Rattus norvegicus: one gene and its partners. The protein of the gene in region 5 purifies or fractionates together with the protein of the main gene of each other region. This does not show direct contact. Links are inferred from orthologs where the notes say so. Each region holds a gene or a part of one and is shown on either strand. Other genes may lie near its edges. The genes, in order: Nolc1, Zmym3, Hnrnpc, Bcl11b, Chd4, Top2a and Top1.

What was found.
Region 1: the proteins of Chd4 (region 5) and Nolc1 purify together in Homo sapiens (affinity purification with mass spectrometry, with the first as the bait; 3 studies listed by BioGRID). This does not show direct contact. The link is inferred for Rattus norvegicus from reciprocal best matches to the Homo sapiens genes CHD4 and NOLC1.
Region 2: the proteins of Chd4 (region 5) and Zmym3 purify together in Homo sapiens (affinity purification with mass spectrometry; 3 studies listed by BioGRID, with this or other methods). This does not show direct contact. The link is inferred for Rattus norvegicus from reciprocal best matches to the Homo sapiens genes CHD4 and ZMYM3.
Region 3: the proteins of Chd4 (region 5) and Hnrnpc purify together in Homo sapiens (affinity purification with western blotting; 3 studies listed by BioGRID, with this or other methods). This does not show direct contact. The link is inferred for Rattus norvegicus from reciprocal best matches to the Homo sapiens genes CHD4 and HNRNPC.
Region 4: the proteins of Chd4 (region 5) and Bcl11b purify together in Homo sapiens (affinity purification with mass spectrometry; 4 studies listed by BioGRID and IntAct, with this or other methods). This does not show direct contact. The link is inferred for Rattus norvegicus from reciprocal best matches to the Homo sapiens genes CHD4 and BCL11B.
Region 6: the proteins of Chd4 (region 5) and Top2a purify together in Homo sapiens (affinity purification with mass spectrometry; 3 studies listed by BioGRID and IntAct, with this or other methods). This does not show direct contact. The link is inferred for Rattus norvegicus from reciprocal best matches to the Homo sapiens genes CHD4 and TOP2A.
Region 7: the proteins of Chd4 (region 5) and Top1 purify together in Homo sapiens (affinity purification with mass spectrometry; 3 studies listed by BioGRID and IntAct, with this or other methods). This does not show direct contact. The link is inferred for Rattus norvegicus from reciprocal best matches to the Homo sapiens genes CHD4 and TOP1.

What each region holds. Positions count from the first base shown.
Region 1 is NC_086019.1:254,868,923-254,873,158, forward strand, and holds the start of Nolc1 (nucleolar and coiled-body phosphoprotein 1), read left to right. Parts: upstream 1-1,436; 5' UTR 1,437-1,488; coding exon 1,489-1,608; intron 1,609-4,236. UniProt on the Homo sapiens protein: Nucleolar protein that acts as a regulator of RNA polymerase I by connecting RNA polymerase I with enzymes responsible for ribosomal processing and modification.
Region 2 is NC_086039.1:70,568,073-70,571,147, forward strand, and holds the end of Zmym3 (zinc finger MYM-type protein 3), read right to left. Parts: intron 2,145-3,075; coding exon 2,030-2,144; intron 1,923-2,029; coding exon 1,730-1,922; 3' UTR 501-1,729; downstream 1-500. UniProt on the Homo sapiens protein: Plays a role in the regulation of cell morphology and cytoskeletal organization.
Region 3 is NC_086033.1:27,279,916-27,284,106, forward strand, and holds the start of Hnrnpc (heterogeneous nuclear ribonucleoprotein C), read right to left. Parts: upstream 2,801-4,191; 5' UTR 2,647-2,800; intron 2,063-2,646; exon of another isoform or gene 2,026-2,062; intron 1-2,025. UniProt on the Homo sapiens protein: Binds pre-mRNA and nucleates the assembly of 40S hnRNP particles. Interacts with poly-U tracts in the 3'-UTR or 5'-UTR of mRNA and modulates the stability and the level of translation of bound mRNA molecules. Single HNRNPC tetramers bind 230-240 nucleotides.
Region 4 is NC_086024.1:132,688,303-132,692,587, reverse strand, and holds the start of Bcl11b (B-cell lymphoma/leukemia 11B), read left to right. Parts: upstream 1-1,485; coding exon 1,486-1,543; intron 1,544-4,285. UniProt on the Homo sapiens protein: Key regulator of both differentiation and survival of T-lymphocytes during thymocyte development in mammals.
Region 5 is NC_086022.1:159,598,318-159,601,817, forward strand, and holds part of Chd4 (chromodomain-helicase-DNA-binding protein 4), read left to right. Parts: exon of another isoform or gene 1-146; coding exon 147-288; exon of another isoform or gene 289-373; coding exon 374-505; exon of another isoform or gene 506-613; coding exon 614-731; exon of another isoform or gene 732-3,500. UniProt on the Homo sapiens protein: ATP-dependent chromatin-remodeling factor that binds and distorts nucleosomal DNA. Acts as a component of the histone deacetylase NuRD complex which participates in the remodeling of chromatin.
Region 6 is NC_086028.1:84,456,094-84,459,593, reverse strand, and holds part of Top2a (DNA topoisomerase 2-alpha), read left to right. Parts: intron 1-10; coding exon 11-116; intron 117-201; coding exon 202-311; intron 312-983; coding exon 984-1,076; intron 1,077-2,695; coding exon 2,696-2,810; intron 2,811-2,910; coding exon 2,911-3,032; intron 3,033-3,481; coding exon 3,482-3,500. UniProt on the Homo sapiens protein: Key decatenating enzyme that alters DNA topology by binding to two double-stranded DNA molecules, generating a double-stranded break in one of the strands, passing the intact strand through the broken strand, and religating the broken strand.
Region 7 is NC_086021.1:169,772,195-169,775,694, forward strand, and holds part of Top1 (DNA topoisomerase 1), read left to right. Parts: intron 1-610; coding exon 611-732; intron 733-1,610; coding exon 1,611-1,733; intron 1,734-3,500. UniProt on the Homo sapiens protein: Releases the supercoiling and torsional tension of DNA introduced during the DNA replication and transcription by transiently cleaving and rejoining one strand of the DNA duplex.

The DNA of each region.
Region 1 (4,236 bases), on a different chromosome or scaffold from region 5:
CCTGCCAGCCCTGGGGCTACTGGTGGGAGGGAGCCACTGCACCCTGCTTGTACAGCCTTGTCATGTATCTGAACACTCAGGTATTTATGGGTTAACATTTACACCAATCCCTTTCTGGGTTCTGTAGAGTTGTTCAGACTGGACTGAAACCCCAGTTCTCCTGCCTACTCTCTTACAGTGACAGCCTGTGCATGGAGATATTTTAGAATACAGACACTTGTGGGATGGAGAAGATACAGTTTTGGGGTTGGTTTTTTTTTTTTTTTTTTTTTTGTTGTTGTTGTTGTTTGTCTTCTGAAGCCAGGGTTTTTCTGTATAAACCTGACTATCCTGGATCTCACTCAAGGGATAACTGCTTCTGCCTTCAAAGTGTTGGGATTATAGTATTTCAAACTCAAAAGAACTCCTCTTCCTCCTCCTTTGCCCCACCCTCCTCTCCCTCTCTCCTCAGATCTACCTACTTTTGTCTCTCAACCCTGGGTTTCAAGGCATTTGCCACCAAGCCTATGAGAATAAAAGTTTTCTCAACTGGGGTTTGTGTCTATTAAGTGTTTCAGGTAAGCTCACCAATTTAATTTGATCACCGTCCTGGCGCGTGGATTTTTTTAAAAAAATTAATATGGATGGATGGATAGAAGCACCTCCTCTGGGAAATAGGATAACATTTCTTTTTAGAAGGAGCGACTGTTTTGAGGAAAGTAAAAGGTGTTCACAGGAAGTGCATCTTTATTGTTTCGTGAGGGATAACTAATGTGACCTGGAAAATAGCTGATAGTGGAGTTTTCAGAATTCAGTGTGACTTCTGACTTAAGGAAGAAAGGGTTATTGAGTCCCTTGATCTTTTCTCTGGAATGAACCCGTGCTCTCCTCCCCCTTTTCGAGTTGTGTATGGTTGGGATAACAGTCTTTAAACCTAGCTGTGACTGACAGTCAATGTGGGATACTAACACCTTTGTCACCACAACTTTTAGGATTGCCTTATGATTTGAGTCTCACTGGGTGTGAAGGATGTGAAGAAGTCATTGTTGGTGGGAGCTTGAGCAGTAGACGACACCTCTAGAAAGGTGAAAGAGACTCGAGTTCTCCATTCCTTTGATTATCGTGGGGTCTGAATAGCAGCCGGGGCTTGGAAACTACGTTTCTATAGATAGAAGTCCATTCAGCAGAGATAATGCGCGGGAAGTTGCAAGTTTTCCCGCCTCGGACGGGAGCGTGACCTCTGACGTAAAGCTCCGCCTCCTTGGGGGGGAAGGCTAGTGGGCTCCGCCCTTTACAGGATGACGACGCGTGTGAGACCGGAAGGAACTTATAGATTTCGCATGCGTCCTGCCTCCGGGGCGGAGGGAGCCCTGCCTCGTGGGGGCCATTCTTCCGCTGCGCGCCGCGCGACGTGATGACGACACTGGGCCCGCCCTCTACCCTGGCTGTGCTCTGGAGTTCTTCAGTCGTACCGCGTGCGCAACGGTAGTGACGCGTTTAACCCGGAGTATGGCGGATACCGGCTTGCGCCGCGTGGTTCCCAGCGACCTTTATCCCCTTGTGCTCGGCTTTCTGCGAGATAACCAGCTCTCAGAGGTGGCCAGTAAATTTGCAAAAGCGACAGGCGCTGTGAGTCCTTGGTTTGGTTTGCGGGCCGGGGTGGGACGACTCTCCAAGGTAGTCTAGGCCTTGTCAGGTTTAGAAGTCAAGAAATCGAGGTCTGGGGTCTGTCAGTCTAATGTCTGTGAAGCCTCTCTGCCGACCTTTCTGAGGCTTAAGGTCTCGGCATCTCTTTCCATCACGTCTGACTAGCTCCGAATCTTACGGCTTTTGGTGAGTTTTGCAGTGGTGGCAGGCATGGGTCCCTCGTGACCTAGGACATGTGGCGATAGATCCCTCCCGGAGCATTGGTTTGGCGGTGCCTGCTTCTGCTGTACTTTTTGTTGGACTTACACTTGGTTGCAGTTTTACCTGAGACTCAAAGATAAATTGTTACTAGTGAAGGCTAGGATCCTATTTATTTATACACTTTAAAAAATGAGTGAGTGCAGGGATAAACTGCGTAGCAATGAAAACTAGGATATCATTATTTATTTAGTTACTTAATGAATGAGTGCAGGGATAGGCTGCTTTCAGTATACCATAGAAAGCGTGAGCATCTTTCCCTGTCAAGTTGGCACTGGGCTTGGAGCTTCAGGTAGTGATATAAAGCAAATGGAGGCTTAGGCCAGATCCACCACTTTCTACATTGATGATCCTGGGCATCCTTTTATTTAAAACAAAGTTCAACCCTTTATATTGTGTATAAAAGTCCTTGTAGAGTGGAAGATGGATGTAAACTTCTGTCCCTCTTGCCTCAGCCTCCTCATCCTAAGCATGCCTGAACATAGCAGGATGCCATTTTGGTTTTTGTTGTCAAGACAAGAGTTTCTCTTTGTGTAGCCTTGGCTGTCTTGCAACTCACTTTGTAGACCAGATTGTCCTTGAACTCAGCTCTCACTCTGCCTACCAAAAGCAGGGATAAAAAGGTGTGCTCAGCCCTATTTACAGCTTTTGAGTGAATGAGATTCACCAAGCGAAAAATACACAAGCCAGTAATCTCATTGTAGACACACAGGGACCATGGGATGAGTGACAGCTATTGTGTCACTTCAAATCCATGTAAGAGCAAAATTAAGTGAAGGAATGTGAAATGTCTCGTCTGCATCTTAAGAAAAGCTGTAGTGTTCATGGAAACACCTTGAAAGACTGTGTAGACTTACGGTCTTTTTTTTTTCAGGGTGATAGCATAACTGACAATTTAGGTTTCTTCTGCTTTATTTCTATTTCTATTTTCTATGTCTCATCGTGTAACCCTGGCTAGCCTGGAACTCATATGCAGAGTAGACTGGCCTCCCAGAGATGCCCCTGCCTCTGATTCCTCAGCGTTGGAATTAAAGGCTGCACCATCATAACTGCCTGGTCCCCTCCTGTTTCTGTGGCCATTTTTGACCTGGCCTTGGCCTTATGATCTTCCTGCCTTAGATCCTGGGAATCTTGGGTTACAGGCCACCAGACCACATAAGAGAGTTCTTTGAGCCAGGGCAGCCTGGCATGTGATCTGATGATACATGCCCACCTGTTCCTGAATGGTCTTAGCCGATGGACCTTCTTCCAGTGCCCCTTACTCCTCCCCGCCCTTCCTTCTTTTTTTCCTTTTTTTCGGAGCTGGGGACCGAACCCAGGCTAGGCAAGTGGTCTACCACTGAGCTAAATCCCCAACCCCCCCACCCTTCCTTCTTAAGACATGGGGTCTCAATATATAGTTATGGCTGTCCTGGGGCTCACTGTGTAGACTTAAACTCATCTCTACTTGTCTCTCCTTCCCACATGCTAGAATTTAAGGCATATGCCACCACACCTGGAACCTTTGTTTGCTTATGTATTCTCTCATGCACGTTGGTGGTTTGCCTGCATGTAAATGTGTGTGATGTGTTAGATTCTGGAGTTCAGACAGTAGAGAGCTACCATGTGGGTGCTGGGAATTGAGCCAATTCTCCAGCCCCGCCTTTCTGACTTTTTTTTTTTTCCTTTCTGACTTTTAAAAGTCAATTGTTTAGGAAAAAAGTTAATAGTTAGAAAATATGAAGCCACAGGTGTCAGGATTGCGTGGATCTGGAGTTAACAGATGTGGGCGCTGGTAAAAGTGTGGATGGAAAGGCATAGGAATAGCTATGCTATAAAGTTTTCATGTTCAGTGTTAGGTGATATGTAAGTGGAATATTTTTCTCCTAATTTATACAAGTAGGAAAAGTCTTAAGATGTAACATCCATTTCAAATTGAGTAGGTAGTTAAAATAACTTTTTTTTTTTTTTTTGGTTCTTTTTTTCGGAGCTGGGGACCGAACCCAGGGCCTTGCGCTTCCTAGGTAAGCGCTCTACCACTGAGCTAAATCCCCAGCCCCTTAAAATAACTTTTTAAAAAAGATTTATTATATATAAATACACTGTAGCTGTCTTCAGACACACCAGAACAGAGCATGAGATCTTATTACACATGGTTGTGAGCCACCATGTGGTTGCTGGGATTTGAACTCAGGACCTCTTAACCACTGAGCCATCTCTCCAGCCAGTAAAACAACTTTTGAGACAAGGTCTCTTTACATAACCCTGGTGTCCTGGAACTCTGTATATAGTCCTCTTGGGCCTTGGCCTCACAGATCTGCCAGTCTGTCTTCCAAGTGCTGGGACCATGCCAGGCTGACAAATTACATTGAT
Region 2 (3,075 bases), on a different chromosome or scaffold from region 5:
TTTTTGTTTTTGATGTTGTTGCTGAGACAGTCTCATGTAGCCTGTCTCAATGTAGCTAAAGATGACCTTGAGAGAATGCTGGGATAACAGACTTGTCCTTAGTTTTATGTGTTGCTAAAGATTGGATCTAGGAGTTTGTGCATGCTGAGCAAATATTCTACCACTGAATTACATCTCCAGACCATCCCCATTTTGTGGCAGGGTTTCACATAGCCTAGGTTGGCTTTGAACTCCACATGTAGCCAAGGATGACTAAATTCCTAGTCTTCCTGCCTCTACCTCCCAACTTCTGGGATTATAGACATAAGCAACTCCAGCTCAATAAAGGGCTATTGAAAAATATTTTTTCTGATGTATCTGAAAATGTATGACAAAAGGACCAACTTTCTGATATTCATTGGACAAGGTCAGAGTAATCTTCAAGGATCCACAGTTAGTCTTCTTTTTCTTGTCTTCCACTCTACAAAGCCAGCTCTCCCTCCCCCAGAGAAAACAAAGAACAATTTTAACTCTTTATTTGAAACAATTCCAGAGACAAGTTAGTTGTGACAACAGTTTCTCACTACAACACAAGGGTAGGCATGGCTCACTGAAGGAACAGGCCAGGCACCTCAGTACAATATATACATTTTAACAGTGGCTAAACTGATGACAGTTATAAAAACACCAAAAAGAAGGCTAGGGAACAGCAAAGCCAACAGGGAAAGAACTGGGTGCTCCCTCTGCCAGACACTAACTTTTCTGGGCCCACAAAGGTAAGATGGGGAAGAGAAGACGTAGGCAGTAGGACAGGACCCTGGCCCACAGCTCCTCACCTATCTTTTGACCACAAACCCCATCCTGGATGGCCTAGGACCCATAGGGTGGGCCTGGCTCTGATGATAGGGGTAGAACATCGGGGAACCCAGCCCCAATCCAAGTGAGAAGGTCATTTTTGCCTTGGGAGCTCTGTTCATAGAACTAAAGGGAGGCAGTTACAGAGGGGCTAAGCATGTTGACACCATGGTTCATGCCATCCTAAGATGGCTGAGAGGGACAAACACATAAACCAAGGGGACAGGAATCATCTGCACAATTGGAGTCTGCTCCCCATACTGAGTCATTCTCTGCCTTTGGGGAAAAGAAAGCATTTGGAACTCTTGAGAAACTGTAGCACCAACAAGTGGTGCTCCAACGGTCGGGTAAGGGACATGGTAGTGAAGAGTGCCAACAATCACTTCTTTTAGGAGGGATCAGAGTGTCTGAGCTCTGTGCTTTAGGTAAATGGTCCCTCACTTTCAGACCTCTCAGACCTTTCACATGGTACAGGGGAAGAGGAGAGAGAGAGGATACAGGGCAGAGAAGGCAGCTGGGTTCTTCCCTAGGTCAGACCTAGTAGCACAAGGCTTCACCTAGATAGATGCAGTCAGGAAACCCAAAGCCAACAGGATCACCAGAGCTATCATCACTCCATCAGAGTCAGGCCCCAGCAGAAAGGGTTTACATAAACAAAACAGGCTACCTGGTTCACGTCCATCACTGGGGGACTAGCCCCTGAGTACACTGGGGCCCCATGATTATCAAGTGGTATGAAAGAAGGTTAAAGGCAGGGGTTCCTGGGAAAGGCAGGGAATGAGAGAAAAGAAGGAGCCAGTCAAGGCCCTTCAGAATGGATAGCATTGGTTCCTGGGCCAGTTACCCCACAGGACAGACACGGATGTGATAGATGGATACAAGGTACCACGTGGGTTCAGTCTAGGTCTTCTTCCCCAGGACGACCAAGTTCCTCATAAATCTCCCGCACAGCCAGAATGCGATTGAGCATGCTCTCCAACATGCTTCGGTCCATGGGAATCACAGAGTACCAGAGAGGTGACTCAGCAATGCAGGAGCGCTCGGGTTGCAAATAGAACACGTCGTTTCGAGTCCGGAGGCTTTCAGGACTAGAACAGTGGGGATGGAGATGGGAAGACAGACATCAGTAGTAGCAAGGCAAAGCGGGCCTCTTCAGTCTCCATGGGAAGTCACTCTTATACAGTCACCAACTCACCATTTTGAGAGATAGAACTCATAGAACTTGACGGGGCAGCGGAGGGGATTCATGCGATTCTCACGCTGCTCTAAGATAGTTTCATCTTCTCTCTTTCGTTTCCCAGGACCTGTGTCTATAGTGGGGAGAAATGACCCAGACTCAGTAGAACATGGGCCCAAGGAGCCACCACCCAGAGCACGATCAAGGACACTGAGATAAGGCCGCAGAATCACCAAAAACAGCTCCATAAAGAAATAAAAGGAGAGTAACGAAGGGCTGGGGGTGTAGCTAGGTGGAAGAGAGGTTGCCTGGCATAGACAAGGCTCTGGGTTCTGCTTCCATTGTTACAAAAGAAACAACAAAGGGAGAGAGGGAGGGAGGGAGGGAGGGAGGGAGGGAGGGAGGGAGGGAGAGCAGAAGAATGTGTTAGCCTTTCCATACTAACCCAACATCCTATTTGTGTATTCCGCTGCAGCCCTCCCCAGTTCTTCCTGCTAAAGTGTTTACACTCATTCCCAAGGTGATATTTTAAAGAGGTGATCTCAGAAGGCAGACAAAATAATTGGTAAAACAGATTGTTAGAAGGTTGGGCTTGCCGTCTAGGTCAGATTAAAAATGATGGCCACTACCTTTGTACATCAGGTTAGACAGAGGCCCACAGAAGGGACCATAGAGAATGGAAACCAAAATGTAGTTTCTTTTTCTTCCTCTGTACAGTTTTTATTTGATTGTTATCTTTGTGTGCATGTGTGAGTTTGTGTTTGTGTTGTACGTGTGCACATGTGGAAGCCAGAGGTCGACATTTGGTGCCTTCTTCTATCCGCTCTACATTATGCTGAGACAGTCTGTCCCTGAGCCTGGAGCTCACCTAGCTGGTGATGGTGATGAGCTCTAGGGAAGCTGCCCATCTCCACCCTGCCTGCTCTAGCTCTAGGTTATAGACATAGGCCACCATGCCCAGGTTCACTTGACTGCTAGGGATCCAAACTCAGGTGCTCATGGCTCTATGGCTTGGATGTGTTTTACAGACAGAGCCATGTTTCCAGTCCTTGATATGTAGGGTT
Region 3 (4,191 bases), on a different chromosome or scaffold from region 5:
CTACTTTCAGCAATGACTAGGGTTAAATGAGAACTCAAAATTTCCATATAAAGTAGTAGTTTAGCTTGTTTTATATCTCAAAACAAATCCAGAAGTCTAATTTACTGGATACTTACATAGTTTTACACAGCCAAGATTTTTCAATTGTAGTTTCCCTAGTTAGTAACTTCCACTCATCATCTATAAGACTGTAACGAACTATTTAGGAATATATTCCTTACTTGCTTGAACAGCCATGCCCATTTATAACAAGATCACAAGCCAATAAATCTAGAGATCAAATTGCAAACATGTTATAATTACTCTACAGAAAAAATAGTAACCATTACCAACCATTTTGGAAAATGGCTTGACCATGGCAAATGAGAGATCCAAACCTTGCAATTTTAACAGCTTCCTCCCAAGTCAAATCAAAAATGTAATTTGAGTCTGGCCTCAAAACTCCAAGAAATCCACATGTTCTACCAGAACAAGGTGCCTACCAAGCCTGGCCTACATTTATAACACTTAATGGCAAGTATACATCAACTACTACCAGTAACCTTGCATAACTTCTGACATTTATAATACTTTCTCTTACCTAGTTTTCACTGTTCACCAGGCAAAACCCTGTACTCTATCTACTTTTTAAAGGCACATGCCTTTAATCCCATCTCTTACTTAGGCGGAGGCAGGTGGATCAGAGTTCAAGGCCAGCCTAATCAAGACAGTGGGTTCAGAAAAGCCAGGCCTATTGCACAGAGAAACCAAACAAAAAATGTGGGAGGCTGTTTTTTTTTCCTTTGTCTGCATTTGTTCTTCTTTAGACAGTCTTAATACTCCAAGCTGGACCAAGGATGGCCTTGAACTCTTCCTACCTCTATCCCCCAAGTGCTCAAATTACAAGAGTAGGCCATGCACATTCCATGAAGTATGCTTAAGAGTAAAATGTGTGTATAGTTTAAACTAAGATTAGTAGCATATTTTTGTCACTTAATCAAACCCATTGTTTTCTGTATAGCCCTGGCTGTCCTAGAATTACTAGATTTACTCTACATTCAGATCTCCTGCCTTCCTAGTGCTGAGATTAAAAACTGTGCCAGAGTGAAATACCAATTTTATAATAAGTTTATCTAATGAAATAACTCCCAGGTAAGTTAATGTGACACAAAAACCCTTTATTAGTATGGGAGATTGAATCCTGGGCATCTTGAATCCTAAGCACTATCACTAGCTATATTTAAAAGAACTCGGACGGAGGAGATGGCTCAGGGGTTAAGAGCACTGACTGCTCTTCCAGAGGTCCTGAGTTCAATTCCCAGCAACCACATGGTGGCTCACAACCATCAGTAATAAGAGATCTGATGCCCTCTTCTGGTGTGTCTGAAGACAGCAACAGTGTACTTATATAGAATAAATAAATCTAAAAAAAAAAAAAAAAAGAACTCAACACCTACAAGAGAGCAACTACTTTAATTTTTAAACATGTTTTACTATGTAGTCCTGGGCTGCCTTGCAATGGGATCTTGCTCAGGATCTTCCTGTCTCTGAACCTCCAGAATGCAAACATTCCGGGCCTGCACTACCATAACTAGCTGTAAACTGCTTTTTTTCCATTCTAGATGGGTAGGATTAATACTGGAGTATCTGTAAACTATTTCTGTGCCTTTTAATTATTGTTCCCAAGTCCAGATTGAAAATGTCCTGTAAATTTCGGTATCAGGTTCCTCTAAAAAGAAAAACTCATTCCCACCCCACCCCCCTTTTTGAGACAGGGCTTCTCTGTGTAGCCCGAGCTGTCCTGGAACTCTCTCTCTGTGACCAGGCTGGCCCACAACTCAGAGAGATCTGCCTGTCTCTGCCTCCCAAGTGGTGGGAGGCATTTGGCGTGCACTGTCACCACCTACCGGCTAAGTCTCTTCTTGTGTATAGTCTATTCTAGTAACTTGACCTGCCTAGAAATATCTTAGTTTCTCTACTACTGATTTAGTCCGGTCCTGTCAACCACTTTTAAGTCTCACTTCTCTCTAGGACAGCAGTACCTACCTCAAGCAAAGTTCCACTAACTTATGTGATTTGTAACCTGCAGATAAAAAGCTGTAATTATTCCAATTACAATTTACCTTGGGCACTTCCCTTTACAAACCAAAAGCACTCCCGACTTTTACCCATCTATCCCTTGAAGAAAAAAGTAATCACTACTTAATCTATTGTTAAAACGCCGTTCAGATGCCATGTGGCCGGCCTGGAATTTAGAAGCTTCCAGTACTACACCACCATGTTATCGCTCCCCCACCCACGCCCGACATTTAGCTTAGAAGACAATAACGGAGTAAGAGATTCACTACAATTACATTAACAAGCATTTCGTTCTTCGCTTTCTTGCTCCCCTGCTCCCCCTTGGAATCCTAATGGGGGAAGGAAATGAAAGTAGCCGTTAAACACCAGCGCGCAAAGAGGGTATTTTCGTACGCACCGTGGCCTAGAGGTCACTAGGTTGAACCTGCGCCAAGGCCGAGGCCTGTTGCCTCCCGCCTTAGACCCAATCCCCAACGCACAGGAACAAACGCGGCCTCGGTTTCTGCCGCGAGGCCGTTTTCTCGCCTACAACCCCCTCGCGGGGCCCAGCAACCCAGGGCCTCCCCTGCCCTCGCCCTCTCCGCTTACCAAGAGGAAGGAGAGAGAGAGAAGAGCCTGCCTCTCCTACTGCGGGTCTACGCCGAGAAGCCGGAGCTACAACAGCAAGGAACCACACGACCGTTCGCTCTCCGTCTCTTCACAAAATGGCCCCCGAGCTCCTCTGCCGCCGAGGCAAAAGTCCAGCCCCCGCCCCGCTCCCGGAGGCGTTTCTATTGGCTGTGACTTTTCTCGCTCCCGCTCCTAATTAGATAGCGTTACCGCTCCTCACAATTCCGTCCAATCATCACACGAGGTGGGTTGGGCTAATTGGGAGAATTTCCACATGCGTAACAAAAGCTACTTAGTAATTGGTTAAGCTTTCTATCACTTAGTGTCTGACGGATGGTTATTGGTCACTGTACCAGACGGAAAGCTGGGTGGAATTTTCGCCTTTGTATCGCGCACAGCTTCTCATCCGGGTATCCGGCGGACCTGACTGACGGCCGTGTCGTCCTATCAGTGCTTCCTAGAGATCCTAGGTCCGGCCAGATCACCGCATTTCCGCGGCACGGAGGTGGGAAAGCCTGGGTGGAGTCTGGTAGCGGGTGCAAAGGGCCTGCCCTAGCCTCAGGCCTTGGAAAAAAAGGGAAGTGCAAACAAGCTTTAGAGAAGGGAGGATCGTAATCCCTAGGCCGCCTGAAGTGTTAAAAACTAAACAGGTCTGCAGTTATTTTCAAATTCAGATCCCCTCTCATTGCCAGATTCTATAAGCTATTGGAAGGACGTGGCCTTGTCAGTGAACAGCTCCCTCCAAACCAACTGGTTTCCATAGTTCTCTCCTATAAGAGCAATTGCCTAGACCCCTATAAACCCGTTTCCTGGGCCCAAGTCGTCACACAATCTGCAAAACCAATGGCCAGCCGCCTCAGTTTCCCACTTCCTGCAATAGCTTGATACTACTTAACCCCCTCAGCTCGGCCAGTAAAGCTCTGGTTACACTGTAGAAACATTAAACAGGCCAAAAATGTATATAGCCTACTGAGAAAGGGAAAGAGTACCCCAGGAAATTTCCTGATTTAAAAATAAAAAATAATCTTTTAGGTCTTCTTTAGACCTTTAAACCTTTGACATTTTCAAAGGATTTATTTTAAATGTTCCAGTCCAGCGAGTTTATGTGTTCCCAATTTTATTTTATTTTTTTTTTCTTTAAAGAAAGGTTTGGGCTAGGCGGTATTTCTAGTGCAAGGCCAGTCTACTCAAGTTTCAGGACAGCTAGGGCTGTATAGTGAAACTCTCTGTCGAAAAAACAATAAATATAAGTACCTAGGTAGAGGTAGGTAGGTAGACAGACAAATGGGAAGCCCTTCATGGCTAGGCTTGCGGGCCATTGAACCCCAGGTTCCTTCTGTTTTCACTTCCCTGGTGTTAGGAACAAACACGCAATGATCTCCTCTGACAGAGCTCCTAAGCACAGGCAAAGCAGTTCTGTAAAGAAGTTGGCTTTGGTGAGGGAGGTGCACCTGAATCCAAACCAGAGTAGCAAGCAGGAAGTTCGCTTTGGTTTTTTTGCTACTTATTTAGTCAGGGTCAGAC
Region 4 (4,285 bases), on a different chromosome or scaffold from region 5:
GGAAGTTTCTATAAAATACCCCCCTTCCCAAATAAGTAAAACCAACTGTAACTACTTTTCCAGGGAGTGAAGTAAAACAATTGTATCTGTCGCCTCAGTCTCCCCCCCCCCCCCGATTTCCAGCCCTCCTTCTTGAGTGGGTGGGTTTAGACTTACTTGGACTCAGTGTACCTCAGTTACTCACACAGCACTCCGCCCCCTTTCTCAGGGAGTCCGGCTCCCGGGGGAGGAAGAGTGAGTGGGGACAAGATTTTATTTTATTTACTCCCCCCCACCCCCACTTTTGCGAAGCCGGTGCTCGGTGATAAGACCAGCTCACAAAAACAGTAGTTTGCACGTGTGGCCGGCCTGGGTTGCGGGTGTGCGCACTGGCGAGTGTGTGTGAGTGCGCGCGCGCGTGTCTCGGTGTGTGCTTTCTTGTTCTCTTACAGGGTACAATGTTAAAAAGCCACCGCTAGTCGCCCCCAGTGCTCCGACTCTCTGGGTCTTTTTGTCTCTAGAGCAGATTAAACGTCACGTCCGCACTTGAACTTGAATTTTATCCCATTGTACAGAGGCAGCCCCAGCCACAGAGAGACCGAGAGCTCCCGGAGAACCCGGACTCCGCCATCTTCACGTTGCAATCTATAGCTCCCGTCCACGCCCGCACCGACCCGGGCGCATTGGGCGAGCCGCCCCGCAGTCCCGCTCCCCCTGGGCCGGCGGCGCCGGGCAGCGCTGGGGAGCGCACGCGGGGACCCGCAGCCCCTCCGGCCGGCGCCAGCCTGCCAGGTGACCCGGGAAGGAGCCGCTCCCGGAGTCCCCCAGAGCCTCGGAGGGGTCAGCCTCCGAGAAAGAAAAAAAGCAGGCAGCGCGCAGAAAACCCAGAAAGAACCGAACCAAGGCAGTTTTTCATTGCTTTCGGGTTTTTTGAGGGGGCGGGGTGAGGGGGTACGAGACAAGTCCCCAAGTTTTCTTTGCCTTTTTTTTTTTTTTTGCTTTTTTGAAATTTGTTTGCATTTTTCCTCCCCCCTCCCCTTGGGTGGAAGTGCGCGTTCCACCTACCAGACCCCGAAAGAAAAGTGTCAGAGGCCGGTGCAAAACCCGGCGTAACTTCAAGAAGACATTTACAAGTCTAAGAGGCCAAGCACTTTGAAGAAGTGTGAGAGATATTTTTCCTCCAAAAGAATATATTTTTAAAGAAACCGGCCAGCCCGCGGCGAGCAACAGCAGCTTTATAATTTATTTTAGCCTTTCTCTATTTTAGAGCAAGCCATCTTCCTGGCTTTTTCTTTTTTCTTTTTGCAAAAACAAAAACAAAAACACAGCCCAGAAGAAAAAGCAAAATAAAGACGAAGAAGAAGAAGAAGAGGAGGAAGAGAGGAAGGGCAGAGGCACCAACCCGGGCGGAGGAGGAGGCGCGGCGGCGGCGGCGGCGGCTCAGACCCCCTCCCCGGCCCGCATCTGTGCAGCTTTCCGGGCGATGCCAGAATAGATGCCGGGGCAATGTCCCGCCGCAAACAGGGCAACCCGCAGCACTTGTCCCAGAGGGAACTCATCACGCGTAAGTGTCCGCCGCACGCGCGAGGGGCCGGCGGCTGGGGCTCCGGGCGCCCGGGGCTGGGGACACCAAACCGGGCTCAGAGGCCGAGCGTGGGGCTCTGGGAAAGTTTCTCTGCAGCCGGGGGCAGCCGCCGCGGGCTCCGGGCCGGGGAGGGGGTGCGCGGGCTTGCAGGCGGCTGTGCGCGCCGAGCCCGGCTGGACGCTCGGCCCTCCAAGCGGCGTGTGTGGCGGCGGCGGCGCTGGTGGCGGGGTTTGGAGAGGAGGGGGAGGGGGCCGGGGAGCGGAGGGGGAGGGGGAACCGGGAAAAGTTGGCGAGCGCGTGGGTCCGCGCTCGGAGAAGCGGGCGGACGGAGCCCCGAGTGAGCCCTGGACCCGAGGACCCGCAGGGTAAAGGGGTAGCCGCGGGCTTCGGGTTCCCGGTCGCTGCGCCCCGCCAGGCAGGGCGCCGACCGCGCCGCTGCTAGGATTCCGAAGCCGCCGTCCCCTCCCCTCCTCTCGCTATTTGCAAAAGAATCCAGCTGCGCAGCTGTTTGCTGGGCTGGAGCACCCCCTCCTCATTTCCCCACCTCCGTCTCCTGGGACGGTCTTGTCTTCTTTCCCCCCCAACTCAAAAAAAAAAAAAAGGTGTGGGGGGAGGTTTTGGGTTGGTGAAAAAAAATCCCCGCCACGAGTTAAAAAAAAGAGTCATGAGTGGGAAAAGAGGGATGCTCTTGTAACAGTAAAAATGAAGAGGAGAAAAAAAAAAGGAAGGGGAGAAAATACCTATCATCCTCTTATCCATCTCTCTATCTCTGTATCTTTCATCTTCCCCATCTAAATAAACAAGGCAGGTCGCAGTGCAAATCCGCCGGATTTCAAGCAAGTGGCGGGGCTGGCAAAGTCAGGCAGCAGGGCAGACACTCAGCGGCTTCCAACGCCCCAGCTGGGTTCGTTTAGAAAAGAAAACGCCAGCGCGAGCCGCGCAGGTACACAGTTCTCCCGGAACCCGCCGGGTCCCGGCGCTGCCACCAGCGAGGTCGGCTTGCAGAGCTCTGGGACGCCCTGGCCGCAGCCAGCGCGAGTCTCTCCCCGCGGGTTTTTTTTTTTTCTCTTTTGGTTGCGGTTGCTTTTTATTTATTATTTTTTTTATTGCAATAGAAATAAAATTTCCTCTGGGTGCCATCGAGACCTCAGGCAGGTTGTAATCTTGCAATTCTTCGCTCACCTCACTGCGTTGGGGCCGGGCTCCCCGCGCTGGAGCTGGAGAAGCCTGTGAATGACGGGCCGCCGCTGAGGACTGACTGCCCTGCAGTCGAGAGCCGAATATTTATGTTATATTTTAAAGAATTTAAATAAATAAATAAATATATAAAGGGGCTCTCCCCTCCCCTCCAACCCAGCACAGGAGCCATCTGCTCGAAGCTATTGCTGTTCCCATCTCTCCTTTGTTACCGCAGACACGTTAGTAAGAATTCGTGCGTTTATTATTATTATTATTATTATTATTATTATTATTATTATTATCTCGGGGGGCATATATATTAAAGTGAGGTTCTTGGGAGAGGGATGTCTCTTACGGGTAGAAGGGAAGGGAAGTTTCCTTTATTTTTTTCAATGTTGTAATGTCAAAGGAGACTTGCTGGTTGCATTTAAAACAAAATGTTTTGCAGCCAAATTTGAGCCTGGTCTCATCAAGATCCTTTTGACCACTTGACATTTATTTTCTTCCTTTAGCATGCTGCAGCCATGGGTTATTTTACAGTCCACTTCCTACCTTTAGGTGAAGTGGTTGTTAAAACATCCACACTTCCAGACCCTAATTTGTCCAAGAGGCAGTTTGCTGCCACCCCCATCCCCTGTATAATTGCAAGAATTGTTTTTGAGGGGGGGGGTCTGTGGGAAGGGGAGAAGCTGGTAGCCCCTGACACTGGGTCATTTGCAGTATTAGGGGAAAGGCAGATAGATTTGCTGTCCTTCTCTGGGCATCCCTGGGACATCCTGAGCAAGCTCTGACCAGAGGGACCGGTGGCAGCTGGGCCTGGGGGTGAGGGGTGCTTCATGTGACATCCTTCCATGCATTTGGTTCTCTGTCTCACCCTTGCTCTGAGCAGCTGGGAAAAGCCAGCTGATGCTTCTGCAGAGGCAGAGAAGGCAAGAGTGCTGGAGAGAAAAGGGGGCAGCAGGCCAGGCTGCTGAGCAGTTCTACCTGCCTTCTGGGGACCCTGGGAGCCTGGGCATTGTTTCAGGGGGTTAAGCAGGGAGAGCGGTTCAAAAGGTGTTCAGAAAAGCAGCTGGCTTTTCTGTCCGTGCAGTATCACCCCAGAGGTAGCAAGACCGGGATGCAGGAGATACAGTGTAGCCTGGGGATTGTGACTAGTTATGAAGCATGGGATACAGGAGCTCTGATTGCAAAAGGCCTGGGCAGCCGAGCAGGTGTTGTCTCAGCCCCTACAGACACTCACTCCCATGTGAGATTTTAGATCTGAAGGAAACCATCTAAGACGTGGCCGATCGGTTTTTTTTTTTTTTTTTTTTTTTTTTTTTTTTTTTTTTTTTTTTTTTTCAGTTGGGTGGCAGCCTTGGGCCTGTGGGGCAGTAGCTTAAGGTTCTTCGGTGATGATGCAACTTCGAATCACTGATAGTCCAGGAAACCAGAAAGGCCCCAAAATAGCATCCATGATCTTGGTGTATGTGTCGGGAGTAGGGGAAGGGCTTCTTCCTAGTGTGTTAAGGTTACTGTAGGCAGGATGGGTAGGAAAAGGAC
Region 5 (3,500 bases):
GTGTCTAACACAAGGATGGTGTGGCAGTTGCCTGTTAGCTCAGCCCCACAGTGAGGAGTGTTGGAAAGATGATCGCAGGCTGTTGGGTTGCATCATTAGTCATTCAGAGACTCTTCGTCCGACCGGTCCTTGTCCTGTTCATGTAGGAAGTACTACAAGTACATTCTCACTCGGAATTTTGAGGCACTTAATGCTCGAGGCGGTGGCAACCAGGTTTCTCTGCTGAATGTGGTGATGGATCTTAAGAAGTGCTGCAACCACCCGTACCTCTTCCCTGTGGCAGCAATGGTAGGTGTGCTTCCTTGGCTCCTGTGCCTTGCCACGTCTCCTTGTGGGTCTCCTTCCATGTTTCTTCCTTTATTTCTGTCACCAGGAGGCCCCTAAGATGCCCAATGGTATGTACGACGGCAGTGCCCTGATCAGAGCATCTGGGAAATTGTTGCTGCTACAGAAGATGCTTAAGAACCTGAAAGAGGGAGGCCATCGTGTGCTCATCTTCTCCCAGGTACGTGGGCCCATCCTGAACTTTACAGACAGCAGTGGGACAGCCCTAGTGACTGAGGAAAGGGATTATCATCTGACAGCTCTGTAATTAAGTGGTTCCTTTTTCCAGATGACCAAGATGTTGGACTTGCTAGAGGATTTTTTAGAACACGAAGGTTATAAATATGAACGTATTGATGGTGGAATCACTGGGAACATGCGTCAGGAGGCCATTGATCGCTTCAATGGTAAGAGAAGAGTGTCTTATCTCCAGGCAGTCAGTTCGTTAACATTAATAAGCTGGGCATGGTGTGTACATAACCTTTAATCCCAGCACTCAGGAGGCAGAGGCATGCAGATCTGAGTTCAAGGCCAGCCTGGTCACCTACAGAGAGAGTTCAGGACAGCCTCAGCTGCTTCTGTCTCAAAACAAAAATGTCATTATTTCGTGTGTGTGTGCCTAGGTACTACTGTAATTATCTCATGTGTGTGCCTAGGTACTATAGTTACAGAGGGCTGTGAGCTACCGTGTGGCTGTTGGGAATTGAACCCAGTTTTATATCCATCCTCTCTGGCCTGGAACTCTCTGTAGACCAGCCTGGACTCAGACACATAGAGATGGACCTTCCTTTAGACGGAGTTATTTGCCCCTGCCCAGCTCTGATCATTTTCCTCTATTTTTTTAAAAGTGTGCATACATGCATGCGAGCTTGCATCTGCATACATGTGCACCATGGCACAGATGTGCGAGTCACAGGAAAACACAGAGTTGGTTCTCTGTGAATCCTGAGGCCTGAGCAGAGATTACCTAGACACCTTTACCTGCCGAACAGCCTCATCAGCCCCACTGGTTTTGTTTTTAAGACTTGATTTTGTTTTGTGTCTGGATGTTTTGCCTGCACGTGAGTGTGCGCCATATGTGTGTGGTGCCTGTAGGGGCCAGAAGAGAGCATTGGGTCCATTGTAGCTGGAGGTCCAGCTGGTGGTGAGTCACCCTGTGGGTGCTAGGAATGAACCCCAGCCTCTGGAAGAGCAGCCAGTGCTCCTAACTGCCGAGCTATGTCCAGCACCTCCATCCCTCCAGAAGCCCAGCTCTTGTTCTTTTGGGTCTTGGTTGACTGACAGGGAGGAGGAAAGCTTTTGAACAAGTAATGGAATAGCTTTAAGAGGTTTTTCTTAACTTCTACCCTTTGGAGTCTTTGGTCTTTTTGCTTAAGCGGGGATGGGGTGGGGGAAGTTCTTTTGGTTCTTTTTTTTTTTTTTTCCGGAGCTGGGGACCGAACCCAGGGCCTTGCGCTTCCTAGGTAAGCGCTCTACCACTGAGCTAAATCCCCAGCCCGGGGTGGGGGAAGTTCTTTAACCCTGGTTATACCCTATGGCTGAAAGGAAGAACAGATTAGTTTTGGTTATAAGTTTTTTTTTACATATGTTTATGTGCCTACTTGTCTCTGTGTATACCATGTTTATACAGGTGCCCGAAGTGGCCCGAAACTTAGAGGCTGCTCTTAGCACCTGTCAGACAGAGGCACTAGGAACCGAACTTAGAATCCTCTGCCAGAGTGCGAGTGCTCTTTATCTGTCTCTACCCCCAGGGGCTCAACTACACCTTTCCCCAACCTTTCATTTTAGTTAGTTATTTTTGTTGGTTTTTTTCTGAGATAAGTTCTTTGTAGTAGTTATCCTTGTTGTTTAAAATGTGTTTGGACTTAAAAGTTTAAAACAATCCAGCGTTAACCTGCCTCTGTCAGTGCCCTTCCCAGGCCCCGGTGGCTCAGGCCTGTGTTCTCAGGCCCTGAGTGGTACAGTAGGAGGGTCGAGATTGCGGTGAGGCTGGGAAGAGCACTGGCTCAATTCCAGAGGACTCAATTTCCCAGCACCTACATGACCGCTCACAACCATTTATAACTCCAGGTCCAGGGAATCCGACATCCTTTAATGGCCTCCCAGTCAGTGCACATACACTGTGAGCAGACATACTGCAGGCGAACACACACATAAAATAAAGTAAGGATCTAAGGAGTAACTCACGGACGCATGAGACCTGTCTGGGGAAAAAGGCAGGGGCAGTGAGGGCCAGCAGGGAAAGTCACATGTCACCCAGCTCGTTTATCAGATCCCTCTCCTACGTGTGAAAGTTCTTGCCAGAAGCCCTCTGACAACACGTATGTACGCATGCACGTATGTGCAATACACAGAATAAGCAAAAAGGCCAGTGAGGTGATTGAGTATGGAAGGTGCATCCTGGCTTACTTACTTCCCTGCGTTTCTACGTCCTGGAGTCACAGTGGCAGGAGAAGACTGGCTCTGTCCTCTGACTTCGTGTGTGTGCTGGCAGGCCTACTCTCACGTACTGACGCATGAATCAGGGAGCTGTCTGGGGATGAGTGCTCACCAACATTGCGTGAGGTCTTGGATTCAGTCCCCAGCACCGCTAAGAGTGGTGACACAGCTGTGACCTCAGCAATGGGGAAGGACGGACAGGAAGTTCAGATTACCCTGGCTATCTAGACCAATCTGGTCTAGATGAGACCATGTCTCAAAAACAAAACAAACAACAAAAACTCAGTAAAGTAAGTTATGTAACTGTGGTACAGCTTCTAACAGTAGAAAATGAATAACATTGGATCCCATTGTCACCTGAACTGTAGACCCTAACTGAATGTTGCTAGTTTTCCCTTAATGTCCTTTTCAGTTGAGGATCCAATCCCAGGTCCCACCAATAGGTCCAAGTAGATTCCACTCTTTATACTTACAGTTGGACAAAACGCTCCTGACATTTCACCCCTAGTGAAATGTCATTCCTGGCATTGGTACTTCAGACTTAGTCAGTTATTTCAAGCAGTGTCTCTTTCTTGAAAGATGCTTGCCAGGAATGCCACAGTGGGATATTGCACGTGATGTCTGCATTTGTCCTTTCTGCTGATTATTGGTTACTTGGTCCTAGGCACGGTGTCTGCTAAAATTATCTACTGTAAAGTTTCTTTTTCTCACTGAAATTCATACATATTTTGAGGGCA
Region 6 (3,500 bases), on a different chromosome or scaffold from region 5:
TTTACCACAGGTGTCTAAAAACAAGCAAGAAATAGCATTCTACAGTCTTCCCGAGTTTGAAGAATGGAAGAGTGCAAATCCAAATCACAAAAAATGGAAAGTCAAGTACTACAAAGGTTTGTGATGAAACCTACGTAGAAATTCTCAGTTTTGTTCTGTAGGGCTACATGGGGAACTGACCTGTTTTGTTTGTCTCTGTAGGTTTGGGCACGAGCACATCAAAGGAAGCTAAGGAGTATTTTGCAAATATGAAACGACATCGTATTCAGTTCAAATACTCTGGCCCTGAAGACGATGCTGCGATCAGCCTGGTGAGTTGGAGTCAGACTGTCCCTGTCCATTCTGCCTCCAGGAGTCACTATCAGTGTGCTCAGTTACAGCGCTTAGCTCCCAGAAGAGGGTTTGTGCTCAATTTTAGCAGTTAACCCTAGAAGAGTTTTTTATGAAATAAAACTTTTTTGAGGGCTGGAGAGATGGCTCAGAGGTTAAGAGCACTGACTGCTCTGCCAGAGGTCCTGAGTTCAATTCCCAGCAACCACATGGTGGCTCATAACCATCTGTAATCAGGTCTGGTGCCCTCTTCTGGCCTGCGGTGTACATGCAGGCAGAAAGCTGTATGATGTATACATGATAAATAAATACATGTTTAAAAAAAGTGATTTTTGTAAGCATATCTGAGTGACAGAACTAGATACCTTAGAAAATGGGACCTTTGATGTTTCTGTTGTATAAAAAAGATGGGACCGGGCTGCTGAGATGGCCCAGTGGTTTAGAGCGCTGGCTGCTCTTCCAGAGGTCCTGAGTTCAATTCCCAGCAACCACATGGTGGCTCACAACCATCTGTAATGAGATCCGATGCCCTCTTCTGGTGTGTCTGAGGACAGCGACAGTGTACAGTGACAGTGACTCATATAAATAAATTAATTAAAAAAAAATGGAACCAGTAAGTACCAGTGACATCTTTTCTACCTTCTAATTTATAGGCCTTTAGTAAAAAACAGGTCGATGATCGAAAGGAATGGTTAACTAATTTCATGGAAGATAGAAGACAGCGGAAGTTACTTGGCCTTCCTGAGGTAAGAGCTTTAAATATATCCCATAAAGTATGCTATTTTAATTGACTTTAGAATTGGTGTTACACCAAGTTAATATTACTAAGCAGTAGTTTCAGTATAAAATTTGTAATAACTATAGTATATAACACTGGTCCTATGAGCTTATGACGGCATTGAAAAAGTTCGGGTGTTGGGAGTTCTTTGTTTGTTTGGATTTTTTTGGTTTTTTTTTTGGTTTTTGTTTTGTTTTTGTTTTTGTTTTTTTTTCTGAGCTGGGGACCGAACCCAGGGCCTTGCGCTTGCTAGGCAAGCGCTCTACCACTGAGCTAAATCCCCAACTCCGATTTTTTTGGTTTTTGTTTTTTTGTTTTTTTTGTTTTTTGTTTTTTTTTTTCAGACAGGGTTTCTCTGAGTAGGCCTGGCTGGCCTGGAATTTGCTTTGTAGACCAGGCTGGCTTTGAATTCACACAGATCCTCCTGCCAGTATTTGAATCATAGGCAAGACCACCTCCTTAAATGTCTTGAAGTTAAGAGGCAAGACATTTTTCACACGTTTATGCTGATGCTGCTATAAACAGTTACCATGTGGTCAGGCACCTGCAAGTGTGTGCTCTTGTGTGTAATATGAAGTATTTATATGACAAGCAGCCAGGTCAGGCTGGGCTAGAGAATAAGTAAAGTTAAAAAAAAAAAATTAAAGGGCTGGAGCTACAGCTGAGATCGAGTGCTTGCCTGGGCCTTGAGTTTAATTCTTAGTAACACTCCACTTCCCCTACAAAAGAGCTTCAGTGTTTTACACACCGCGGTGTTAGACAGCAGCAACATCATCTACCTGTTGTTTTCCTTTTGTGATTATTTGTCTCTTTGTTTTTCTCTGTTTGTCCTCGGCTGTTGTAAAACTTGCTCTGTAGATCAGGCTGCCCTTGAACTCACAGAGAAGAGATCTTTCTACCTGCCCTCTGCCTCCCAAGCACTGGGATTAAAGGTGTGTGCCACCACTTTCTGGCTCACCTATTGGTTTTGTTTTCGTTTTAATTGTGGAATATTTATTATTGCAATGAAGAATATGTACAGTATAAATGGACAAATGAAATTAATTCATGCAATATACTGAATAGAATCCAAATCAATTAAGACAGAAACACAGGAGATATTTTAAAGACAGAATGTTCTCAATTACAAAAAGACAGAAGGAAGCATCAACTTAGATGGCTTCTCTCAGTTTATGCTTGGTGTTTTGAGTATTTTCTGGAGGAATTCACTTCTGTACAGGCAGGATTTAAACTAAGTTCTAACAAATCCTGCCAGCATTTTGAAAAGGAGTTGTCAAGAATGCTCAAACATCAAATGAAGAAGGAAGAAAATATGTGGTTACAGGGATTCTAGTCTCTAATGAAAGAAAAACAAAATTATGGACAGCTAGCTAAACAGGCAGGTCTGGAGAAGACCTCAGACCACCTACTGCAGTTGTCCCTGCTGCAGAACACTGCGGTCTTCAATGGTCTTTTGCCAGCTCACTTAGGGTGTTTTAAGGAGTGAAGAAGTGATAGTTCTGAGTGTTTTTAGTGTTGTACTAAGTGTTGGTAAGACCAGTAGTTTATTTCCAAGCAGACCCTTTAATGCTGTCTTTGGTCCCTTAGGATTATTTGTATGGACAAACCACTATGTACCTGACCTATAATGATTTCATTAACAAGGAACTTATCCTCTTTTCAAACTCTGATAATGAAAGATCTATCCCATCTATGGTAGATGGTAAGTGCCAGTGGGTTAGTCTGTTTTTACCATGAAATGGTGATTTATGCCCAGAAATTACTAAATTGAAAATGCTAATGATTGTTCTTTCATTTTAAAGGTTTGAAACCAGGTCAGAGAAAGGTTTTGTTTACTTGTTTCAAACGGAATGACAAGCGAGAGGTGAAAGTTGCCCAGTTAGCTGGGTCAGTGGCAGAAATGTCCTCTTATCACCATGGTGAGGTAAATGCACTTTAACATTTCCACCATGCCTTGAGCAGGAATAATTGAAAGTTATCCTTGAAACACATTTGGTACAAGTGTACGATGCTCTCTCTCTGTCCATAGTAGAGAACAGCTTATAAAACCTTTCAAAACTAAAATATGATTACCCTCTGACCAACAGTTCTATTTCTAGAAATAACATTCCACTAGGATATTTGTCTGCCAAGTTATGTTCATAGGTTTTTAGTAAGATTTAGTATTCTTGTGTGATGTAAAAGTTTAGACACCTTGAAGTCTTATGTTTTGTGCCCTTTCTGCCATCTATTCATCTTGAAAAGATCACTAAACATCTAACCCTCACAACCTTAGAAGACTGCATGACTTAGTTGAAGTAGTGAAGACGTACACAGACACAGGTTTGTGTCCCTCTTTGGATCAGAGCAGTGATTGTTCTTTTCCCTCCACAGATGTCGCTGATGATGACCA
Region 7 (3,500 bases), on a different chromosome or scaffold from region 5:
TTGTGATGCTTTTGGTCTGTGAACTACTTGAATAGTAAGGTTCTAGAGGAAGGTCTTACTTAGGCTTTTTATGTGGGAAAAATCTGGGCTTGCCTGCTATGAATATATATTTTTATTCATATTCCACCCACGTAACTTTGAAGAAGAAAGATGCCTATTTCTTTTCCCTACAATTCCTTTCTTCCACTCCCTGCCCCTATCCTTTCCTCCCCTTCCTGAACAGAGGCTGCTTAGCTTAGCAGTGGCAGGAGTCCTTCTGAGGATTTGATTTTTAAAAACCATTGAAGAGGTGTAAAGGACCCTGCTTGCTGAAAGGAAAAGGAAGAGTGGCTGGGCCTTCCCCAGGTCATCCCTGTCCTGAGCAGGCACCTGGGAACAATTAACTGGCATAGTCTCCAAAAAAAGACCCAGGTAAATATCTACTAAGAGAAGGAGAAATTTTATAAGTAGATATATAACAGTTTGTTACTCTGTTGTTGTTATAACTGTGTGTCAGCAGACCTTTGTACACCTTGGAAAGGTAAGCAATCAGTAATGACTTCTCCAGTAGTCAGTGCACATATAATAAGAGTTTTGTGCCTCACTGTTTGGAACCATTTTCTTCCTTTAGGTAAAGTTATGAAGCTGAGTCCCAAAGCAGAAGAAGTAGCTACATTCTTTGCAAAAATGCTTGACCATGAATATACTACTAAGGAAATATTCAGGAAAAATTTCTTTAAAGACTGGAGAAAGGTATTGTGGCCCATGTGTTCATATCTTATAGTTCACAAAAGTGCTGACTGGGAAGTGTAGCCCATTTGTTAATGCCTTAACAGTTTATTTTAAAAAACCACAAAACATAGTTTAACTATATCTTTTGTCCATTACTATTTTAAATGGGTTTTGTCCAACAAGAATATATCTCAGCATTCATGTGACTGCAGGAAGGAGTTTATCAGATTGGGTTAAACAGAAAACCTCAATTCCAGTTGAGCAAAGGAAACAGCATTGTTTCTGCAGGGATTGTCTTCTGATGCCTTTGCACAGGATTAGTCTGACCACCCATTCTGTCTTCATCCATGGTGACTTACCCATACCATGTTAGCCTATATAAAAATATCATTGTTCTCCATTTGGATAATTGTGAATAAAGGCTGAATTAAAATTCATCATCTAAGGCATTTATTCTAAAGTCAGACTTAATAAGAGCAGAATAAGTTGTTCTGCATGGGAATAAGAAAGCGTTTCTCTTTATTGCTAAAGTAATTGGTTAATACATGTCTCTCTCTTTTTTCTTTTTTTTTTTTTTTCTTCTTTTTTTCGGAGATGGGAACCGAACCCAGGGCCTTGCGCTAAATCTCCAACCCCAATACATGTCTCTTGAGTTGGTGTTTTGTCAAAGATTCCCAAAGAAATGAGAGTAATTTTTCTCTTTGATAAACCACTAAAATGTACTTATATTAAAAGTATACACCTTATAACAGAATAACCCCTCTTCCCAGAAGAAGGGTCACTGAGGTTGGCTTCCCTTCTAGATAACCTTTGATTAAAGGAAAAAAGATTTAATTGTGAAGAAATAGGAAGACTTATTATATTTACATTTTTTTTTTTTTACCTTTTCACTCAACTAGGAAATGACTAATGATGAAAAAAATACGATTACCAACCTAAGCAAATGCGACTTTACACAGATGAGCCAGTACTTCAAAGCTCAATCAGAAGCTCGGAAACAGATGAGCAAGGAAGAAAAATTGGTATGATAGAAATCGTGGGCAGTGATTCTTTGTCTAATTTTTTGGTTCCTGTGACACGACATTGAATTCATTAATTTTATATTTTTCTGTTAAAGATTTACTTGGTAAAGTCTAATTACATGTATGAGTTGTGTTAACTGGTAGCTCTCTGTGTTGGTACATGTCTGAAATCTCAGTATCCAGGCCTGAGGCAAGAGAATTATTGCCAATTATGTTCCATTCTGTGATGGAAGCAAGAACTGTGATGTCTCCACAGAATAAGCAAAGACGCTGCACTAGACTTTTCAAGTCCAGTCTAGCTGTGGTTCAAGTCTAGTCTAGCTGTAGTTTAAGTCTAGTCTAGCTGTAGTTTAAGTCTAGTCTAGCTGTAGTTTTGAATCAAATCACTGAGATTTGGCCTATTCACGTTTTGAACGTTTCTTATTTTAATTGTATGTGCATGTATGCATATAAGTGTGGAGACCAGAAGATAACTGATGATCTGGAACTGTTCCGTGTGGTTTTGTGCTACCCAGCATTGGTGCTAGGAATTGCTCTAATCATAGAGTCATTTCTACAGCACCATTGATTTTAAACATAAAGATCATTTTGGACTCCTGTAATACTAGTCCAAGTAACAAAAAGCTTTTAGAAACATTGCCTGTGTAAGCCACTGACAAGGGTACCTGTGGCCAGTAAGTTAAGCAGGACTTGGTTATTGAATCACTGTGATGTTGCACTCTTGTAATCCCAGAACTAGAAAGAGCTAAGCAGGAGGATCAAGAGTTTGAGGATAGCAAGGCCCTGTCTAAAAGCTAAAATAATAATAATAAGAAAGGCAAGGTTCAGGAGAACCCTCACACACGAATCACCATGTATAGGATAGAGGAGAATGGTTAGAATGAGGAGGCTGAACTCCCACATATACCATACCTTTGTGGATTAAGAATCATGTAATATAAAGTGTGGGTTAGAGATTTAACTCAGTAGGAGAATGATTGCCTGGCAAACATGCAGCCCTGGGTTTGCTTCATCTCAGAAAACAAACAAAAAACTTGAAACCACATACCCAATAAAGTATTTGAGACAGGTTCCTTGGGGACTTTAAACCCCATGGGAAATGCTGTTAAGTGGCTCTGACAGTGATCTTTTAGGAAATAATGAAATGGTATGACAATTTGTGATAATAGGTAAGTGTTCTATAATTTCCCTTCATCCCCAGTCCCTAGCATGAGTTTTTATTTTTAATTAAAATTTGGTTATAAAGAACTATGATGGTTTGTATATGCTTGGCCCAGCCAGTGGCACTATTAGAAGTTGGTGCCTTGTTGGAACGGGTGTGTCACTGTGGGTGTGGGCTTTAAAACCCTTATCCTAGCTGCCCGGAAGTCAGTATTCTGCTAGCAGCCTTCAAATGAAGCTGTAGAACTCTGAGCTCCTTCTAGATGTTGCCGTGCCCTCACCTTTGTGATAATGGACTAAAGCTCTGAACCTGTAAGCCAGCCCCAATTCAATATTGCCCTTGTAAGAGTTGCCTTAGTCATGGTGTCTATTCACAGCAGTAAAACCCTAACTTAGGTAAAGAAAAGAAACCAAAACAACAACAAAACACGAACACCACACACTAAAATTAGCCAGACCCAAATTTAAGCTTTACCTCTCAATGAAACAGAATAGTGAGTCTGAAGGTGTGCATTAAATTTTACACTTTCACTGTCAAGTGTATGTTTTATGCACTTATCTTCTACCACAAAACAAACCGAAACAAAAATCCATGAGAGTTGACAC